2 linked regions of the Danio rerio genome follow. The protein of the gene in region 1 interacts with the protein of each later gene in a pairwise test. Links are inferred from orthologs where the notes say so. Each region holds a gene or a part of one and is shown on either strand. Other genes may lie near its edges.

Region 1 (3,831 bases):
AATTGTAAACATATTTATAGTAAAATGAGTAACAACACGTCCAGAATTGTATTTGCTATAATTACCTTGGCGATGTCCTCTCGGATTCTCAGGTTTCTAACTGTGATTCTTCTCTTGGAGTCAAAGTTTTGTCCAGGCATGTCAAAGTCATCAACATATTTGTCCTCATCTTCATCTTCACTGCTGTGGTCCTGTTCAGGGAAAAAAGTTGAATCAAGTTAGTGGCTTTTAACATTGAGTTTTATTTTATAATCCAGCTGCACATCATGATATATACCTGTACTGCTTCCTCATGCTTTCGTGAGTTCTGCAAGATTGAAACATATAGAATTATAAACACAGATAATAAATGTAATCAAATCAAACTTTATAGCACACATTTTTACGTGACAAATATCACATGCTTAAAAAATGAATGTGTAAAAACATCTAGAAAATAAAGTATATTGTAAAGACTTACAGCTTGATCCATTAGTTTACCAGATGCTAACTCCTCTTGGAGTTTCTGAGCTTTGAGAGTGCGCTTTGCCTGTGGGGATAAAATTAGATAATAATTAGACATGCTTCCTTTATCCTTGATTGTAAGTCGCTCAAAAACATCTGCTGAATCAATAAACGTGACCTTAGAGCACAAAACCAGTCATTTTGATTTATATTGAAACTGATACACAGCAAAAAAAAACTGACTAAATAAGATGTATACATTATTAGGATAGGACAAAATTTGATTGATAAAAATATTTGAAATCTGCAATCAGAAGGTTTAAAAAGATAAATAAAAAATAATGAGAAAAATCACTTTAAAGATTATATTTTTATAAATTTATAGTAAGGAATTCATAAAATGTCTTCAAATGAACATAATTTTTTACTTAATATTTTTAATGATTTTGGGCATAAAGGAAATATTAATAATTTTGACTATTGCCAAAACTATAATTGTGTAACATAAGATCCACAAATGTTAATGTAAATGCATCATCATGGTCTATATCCGCTCATTTCTTACCCTGGTCATTATTATGGAATGAACATAAACACACAAACATATCCAACAGTATGTTTGACTCACCAGATCCACTTTAGAATATTCCTCTACAATGCGCATGTGCTCATCAGGATCATAACCATTCCAGCGATCTCTCTTTCCATCATAATCCATCGAGAGCTGAACCTGCTGGTGCTCATCCGGTGCGATGCCTGTGCCAGAAAACTTTGCTCCAACCTTTCGGGGTCTCTGTGAAAAACATTTTTGGACATAATTTCATTTTAATGTAAGATTATTATATAGAAATATTTCTCAATTTCAACAATTTACAATTTTAACTAAATGATTTCAGTTTTATATATTTTTTCAAAATTATAATTTATTCATTTGATGCCATGTTTGAATTGAGTCACATTTTCCCTTTCAGAAACCATTTAAATATGCTGATTTGCTTCTCCAGAAAGTAGGGGTGTCAAAATAATTGTTTCTTCGATACACCGTGATGTAGACGTGGACAATTTGGTATTGGTTCAGTAATAATCATAACCGGTTATTGCGTACTGACGTCATTTATCTTATGCGCTATATTGCGGTAGCCTACTCTGACGAGGGAGGCGACCGCGAGTAATTAAAATACTTCAACTACTTAAAAAGCAGACAACTGTGCACAATTCACTGCTTGTGAGTTTGGTGGACAATATATTACTGACACTGAAGTTACAGCGAAAGCCCCTATTCCACTGCTATTGAGAAAGCGAAAGCTGTAAACTCCTTTTCTGCTTTTCTCTCTTGCTCTGGACCTTTGGCCTGCTGTCATGAGGTAACATTTCCTCTCCTCTCGTCTGTTACAGCGATACTTGTGGATCCAGACATGAGCGTGTTTGCAGAGTGAGGTTTTGGTAGCCGGATCAAAACACAACATTTACCCAAATCACATAAATAGCTAAATATATGCCACAAAACATAATTGTATTGTTAATAATAGTTGTATTTGTTATGACACTGTTTCTTTTCAATGGATTAAAGTAAAAAAAAGGCTGTTTAAAAAAGACTGAAATAAAAAAGCCATGTCAGCCAAATCAGGAGCCATGTGCACCCACTGACAGGTCAAATCTGCTTCTCTCTCTCTCCTTCAAGTTCAAAGTAAATTTGAATGCCAAAGCATTTTAGAATTGTATATAAAATAGCATATGTAATATATTAACATCATCAAATTAATAAACTAATCAGCAAATGAGAAATAAATGACAGAAAAGTTAGTAAAGACAGACAGTATTTCTAAAAATGATCGTAATTTCAAGATTAAAAGAGTACTTTTTTTTTAACAAAGCAAATGTGTTGGTTAACCATTACTAAGGGTGTACATATATTTTGCAGCCAGTTTAGACGTCATTTCGTCGTCTCCGAGTATATAGTATCGTTTTTCTAAGTAAAAGTGCCATTAATATACCTGGGCGGCCCGCCCAAGTAAAGACTATGTGTGGGGAGCACTGGCGTGCTGATTATCAGTCACTCATCGATGAACAGCGCGAAAGCGTTAAAGCCAATCGCAGCCCTTTCTGTTGAGCGCGTGACCAATCATAGGCAATTCAAATCTCGCTCGACAGTGCTCAAAAAGCAATTTTATATGTAATAATCCGATAATATATACATTAGTTTGTTTGCTATACATGCTCATGTTGTCCTCTGTGCATATACTTTAGTTTTGTTTGATACATTTAAAAAGAGTGTTTTCTTTGAGCAGGTAAAAGTAAAGGTACAGTTCATATATCTGACTGCTGTATTAAAGGACAAAATTGTATTACAAATAATATATAAATGCATTTATCAATTTTAATACAAGAATTCTTGTGCTGTAAAGTAAAATATAAAATTGTGAATGGAAAGCATCATCAATGCACCGTGATATCAAATTTAACCGAATCGATGTCATGATGATCGTAACCGAACTGTGAGACCAGTCTAGGTTCAGACCTCCACCAGAAAGTATTATAATCAGTTGAAAACAGTTTTGCTGGTTAATGTTTTTTAGAGGCTGTGACTCATTTTTCATGATTCTCTAATGAATAATTTTTATTTGAAACTAAAAAATGTCTTAAGTGTCTCTTTTGATGAATTGTACTGCATACTTGTTAAATAACTGTATGCATTAGTTTCTTTTTTAAGTTTAAAAATCAATTTAATGACCTAAAACCAAACATTATTTGGTAATGACAACCTATCCATGCATGTATCATAACATTGTTGTATAAACCACTTACCTCCAAACAATCTTTCTTCTTATGTGTCAAGGCGCCACAGTTTTCGCATGCTCCTTTTCTGTATTTCGTGTTCACTGATTTCTAAATGACAGAAGGGCAATGAAAAGGGGTTTTACACACTAAATGTCTTTAAAGCTTATAAATATATAGGCAGGAGAAGGGCTTACTTCTTGTACACCTCTCTTATACCAGTCTCCAATGGGCGCAAACTTGCTCTGATTCTCTTCCTGGGGTCTCTGATGCTTAAGGGTGGGTCTCTTTGAAGGGTCAATGTACCAAGGGACAGACGAGATGTACTGGGGAATATGAGGGTTGATGTCCCTGGAAACAAAATATTATGGTGAGAGAAATCAAAGTAGTCACATGCAAGACAAGTAAACATGATTGAGGTAAAGTTGGTTTTATATTTGCACATTCGTTCAGTGATGACTTGTGACACGCTCCCTATATTGTTTACCATAGTACTTTGAATATTTGGTCTGAAATTGCATTTAAAAATTGAACATTTGAAAATTAAACAGTTTATGCATCAACATCCAAACATGCTATAGACATGAACAGTATAGTAGCTGACTTTATATC
Region 2 (4,404 bases), on another chromosome or scaffold:
ATGCGGCTACTTTTTCCAGAACATTTAACCTTTTTGAATTGTGTTCATTTTTAGCGTTTACATGGCAAACATCAAAACCAGTCAGCATTTGTACCATTCTGATGCAATGACAATATAAAAAGTTAATACTTAATTTCAATTAAAAGTGATAATTCAAGTAAAAGTGTAACTCAGCTTCTCATTTTGTAATTCTTCTACACATTTTTTTAAATACTTGTTTTGTTTTACTGAAAGTATTGAGAAGCCCAAAAGTAGATCAAACTTGGACACTAGTAGTTATAAGACACGGAATAAGGAGTCATTCAGCATCAGTGTTGACAAGTCTGCAGTTTTCCCAGGTTTTTTTTGATTATATAGTAACAGTTGGCAGGACTCTCCTGGATTTTTGCTAAATAATGACTAAAACAGCATATTTCATTTAATCTTTATAATTACTAATAAAAGTGTTTTTAAAAGAAAATGTGTGTAATGCATACAGAGATGTAAAATATATTCAAAGAGGAAAAACCACAACCAGCCGGAGGATTTGCTTTATCAGCTGTCAATTTGAAGGTAAGATTATTTTATTTATGAAAAACGAATATTTACCAATACCAATATACAGTAATTAAAAATAAAAAAAAGAAAAACTATATATTTTTTAATCCATTCAGTGATTTAAATTATTATTTTTACTTACGAGAATGGCAAATTCTGAGTTTAAGGATTGGGAGAGTTTTGATTGGCCATTGGCTAACTTTTGCTTTGAAAACCTGGCAACCCTGTTGAGCATAACAATCCATTCATTTATTTTCCTTCGGCTTAGTCCCCTGGTCACCACAGCGGAATGAACCGCCAACATATCCAGCATATGTTTTATGCAGCGGATGCCCTTTCAGCTGCAACCCAGTACTGGGAAACATCCATACACAGTCATTCACACGCATACACTACAGACAAATTAGCTTAATCAAATCACCTATAGCGCATGTCTCTGGACTGTGGGGGAAACCAGAGCACCCAGAGGAAACCCACACCAACACGCGGAGAACATGCAAACTCCACACCGAAATGCCGACTGACCCAGTCAAACTCGAACCAGCGACCCCAGATTAATAAGGGGACTAAGCCGATAAAAAAATGAATGAATACATTGTTCATGAAGACAGAACATTATTTCTCATATATGTTCACTAAAGTTATTTTAAACAATAACACAGTCACTTATATTTAATTTGCCTTAAGCTATATAAAATCACAAAAAAATGTCCCATAATGTAAGAAAGAAAGAAAGAAATCTTAGATTAGTTACCTGTTGGGTCTCCAGTCTGGACTATAAAGCCTTTTATATTTCGATGGAAAATACAGCCGTTGTAAAACCCACCGGCGCACAGTGCAAGGAAATTCTAGGGGGAAATGTCATTGGAATTAATGTAAAATAAAGATGGTACAAAAGCAACAAGGCTGCAATACAGCGATATTATGTATGTGGAAACAAGGAAAAAAGTAGTGTTACTTCACAGCTCTTCGGGGCTTTCTCACAGAACAGCTCTATTTTCATATCGCCGAGGTCTGTGTGCAGTGTGACAGCCTAAGAGATGATCAGATCAGCTTATTAATACAATAAAATTGCTGTTATTCAATTAATAGTTATCATCATCATAGGTCCCCGCCTGACTGACTACATTAAGTATTGCAAACATTATTTTATTGAGTATGAGCTAATCTCCAGATATTTCTAGCACAAAAAAAAAAAATCAGAATATTAGATAAATTCAAATTATAATTTTCCTCAACATATCAGAGCCTGGTTTTACAAAGCTGATTTTAGGAATAATTTTTTGAACTCCTCAATTCAGAAAACAGCTAGAAAATAACATTTGTTCAATTTGAGCAGGTAACATTATGTATAAACATACCCCTCAGTAAAAAAAAAACAACAACGTCAGAATATAGATATGAATAAAAGTCGGCTCTTTAAATTCAAATACCTATTGAATTTGCAAACAATACTCTTCTGAAATTACATTAAGATGAAATCCGAATATTGAGGTAAAGTGGGTTTTGTATTCCCTCATTTCGACTTTCTCATTAATTATATAACCTCAGTAAATCATTAATAGCAAATTCTAAATAGAGAATCATATCAGCAGCTAACAACCATCGAAGTACAAATTAAGGTAAAGTTGATTTTTGGGCTTTGGTCTTTCGAAAACATCCTAAATAAATTTTGAATTGTACTTTTTTTCTGCAACTTTCGTTTTCAATTGAGGAAATTGGTTGGTTTTATATTCGCACATTCGCTTAGTGACAGCTCCATACATTGTTTACCATGGTACTTTGAATATTCGGACTGTAAATAAGACTTCAAAACAACATTAGCACTATTCAAATGACTGTGAACAGTGTTGTACTTCCATGGTTGTTGGCTGTTGATATGATTTCCCTATTTAGAATTTGCCATTAATGCTTTACTAAGATTATATAAATCAGAAAGTCGGAATGTGCGCTAATATAAAACCAACTTCGCCTTAATGAAGTACAACACTGTTCACAAAGATTAAATAGTCAATTAAATAGTGCTAATGTTGATTTGAATCCCTATTTAAATCTGTTTTCAGTGCGAATATTCAAAGTATGGTACACTATGTATGGAGCTGTCACTAAACTAATGTGCGAATATAAAACCAACTTTACCTCAATTAAACACAAAAGTTACAGATAAAAGCCTAAAAACCTAAAAACTGAAAGCTACATGCAAAAAAAGTTTTTTGTTCGTCAAGCCACCGAATAAAATTCTCTCAATAAAATAATTTACCACACTGTAAGGTCAGTCTGTCCATTAAACAAATAACTTCAGAGCGGCAAAATGTTAGATTTAATATGTGGACTAAAATATAAACGACTCAAAACACTTGACTTACACGTTAATAATATAAATGTATAATAGTGATCTTACCATGTTCTAAAGAGACGAGTAAAATGATGCAAGCTCATACAAACAGCACGGTGCTACAAGCAAGCGTACCGCCTTCTGTGTTTGTGTTTCACTGTAAAACATCCGAATGTACTTAACGCTAAGAACTATGGTTCCCATTTCACACTCGCGTCTTCATAGATCTGTTTCAGTGTCTGCAGTTCGGCAGTCAAGTAAACATAAAATCAGTCTACATAAAGACAGGATTCATACACATTTTTCCTACAAGAGTTCCATGATTATTCCAGGACTTTCAAGTCAATTTTCATCATGACCTAATATTTCATGCAATGTCTACGTATACGCGATAAATCATAAGAAAAACAATAAACGTTTACATTTATTACAGCAAATCATAAAGCACGCAACAATCTCTTTAGTTTCAATTTATTTTTATATAAAATAGATGATGCTTACACAGCAGTAATGATGTGAGACCATGTTTTTTGTCAAGAAAAGAAGTAAAAACATCTAACCTCTATTTCAGCACACAGATCTGTAACTATTAACATCCTCTTAAATTAGTTTGACAAATATCGATATTTGTCAAATTAATTTAAGAGGATGTTAATATTTTGTTAAACTAGTAATAGTAGGTAAACTACATCTATTTTAAAGCCGCGATCACACTGCACTTTTTGCTCCATGGACTTCCAATTATAGGCATGCGAAGGCGGCAGACCAGAACACACAAGCACGCGCGACAAGTTTTGCATTTCATTCGCATTCGAAAGTTCAAGCTTGGTGAATTCTTACCTGTGAAATCACAGCAGGTGATTGCGTTAGACCAATAGAATATAATCTAAAATAAAAAAAATTAAAAGATGGAGCAATCGCGCAGTTTTATTAACATCTGATCATATTGTTTAACCTCACCCCTTTTCGCATACGACAGAATTTCGCAAGTACAAGCTCTAGTGTGACCGCAGTTTAAGTCATTTTGGACAAAAGAGTCTGCTAAATGACTAAATGTAAATGTAATTTCCATGACTTTTCCAAAACCTTGTGGGTTTTTCTGTTTTTCCAAAACATTTGCACGCCTAAAAAATGCCATGTCAAAATTCCATGACTTTTCCAGGTTTTCCATGACTGTATGAACCCTGTATACATATATATAAAAAACATAAACAAAACCACTTTAAGGTAAAGTTGGTTTTATAATCGCACATTCAGACTTTTTCATCTTAATTTTAATTTCAGAAAAGTATTCTTTCCTTATTCTAAACAGGGAGATCATACATTATTAGCAGCCATGCCTATTAAGGTACAACAGTGTTTACAGTCAATGAAATAGTGCTAATGTTGTTTTGAAGTCATACTTGCGTGCGATTTCAGATCATATATTCAGCATAGCGTTACAAGTTGTCACTGTTAAAAACGAACAAATGTGTGAATATAAACTTTCTCAATCAAAACTACGTGCACCATGTCAGAGATTGACCCAAATT

The links.
Region 2: the proteins of slu7 (region 1) and ppil3 interact in binary tests that used the Homo sapiens proteins (3 or more experiments, as listed by UniProt). The link is inferred for Danio rerio from reciprocal best matches to the Homo sapiens genes SLU7 and PPIL3.

What each region holds. Positions count from the first base shown.
Region 1 is NC_133189.1:50,631,581-50,635,411, reverse strand, and holds part of slu7 (pre-mRNA-splicing factor SLU7), read right to left. Parts: intron 3,571-3,831; coding exon 3,417-3,570; intron 3,331-3,416; coding exon 3,250-3,330; intron 1,238-3,249; coding exon 1,073-1,237; intron 530-1,072; coding exon 461-529; intron 308-460; coding exon 278-307; intron 192-277; coding exon 66-191; intron 1-65. UniProt on the Homo sapiens protein: Required for pre-mRNA splicing as component of the spliceosome. Participates in the second catalytic step of pre-mRNA splicing, when the free hydroxyl group of exon I attacks the 3'-splice site to generate spliced mRNA and the excised lariat intron.
Region 2 is NC_133180.1:70,779,106-70,783,509, reverse strand, and holds the start of ppil3 (peptidyl-prolyl cis-trans isomerase-like 3), read right to left. Parts: upstream 3,018-4,404; 5' UTR 2,942-3,017; coding exon 2,939-2,941; intron 1,571-2,938; coding exon 1,496-1,570; intron 1,386-1,495; coding exon 1,292-1,385; intron 1-1,291. UniProt on the Homo sapiens protein: PPIases accelerate the folding of proteins. It catalyzes the cis-trans isomerization of proline imidic peptide bonds in oligopeptides. May be involved in pre-mRNA splicing.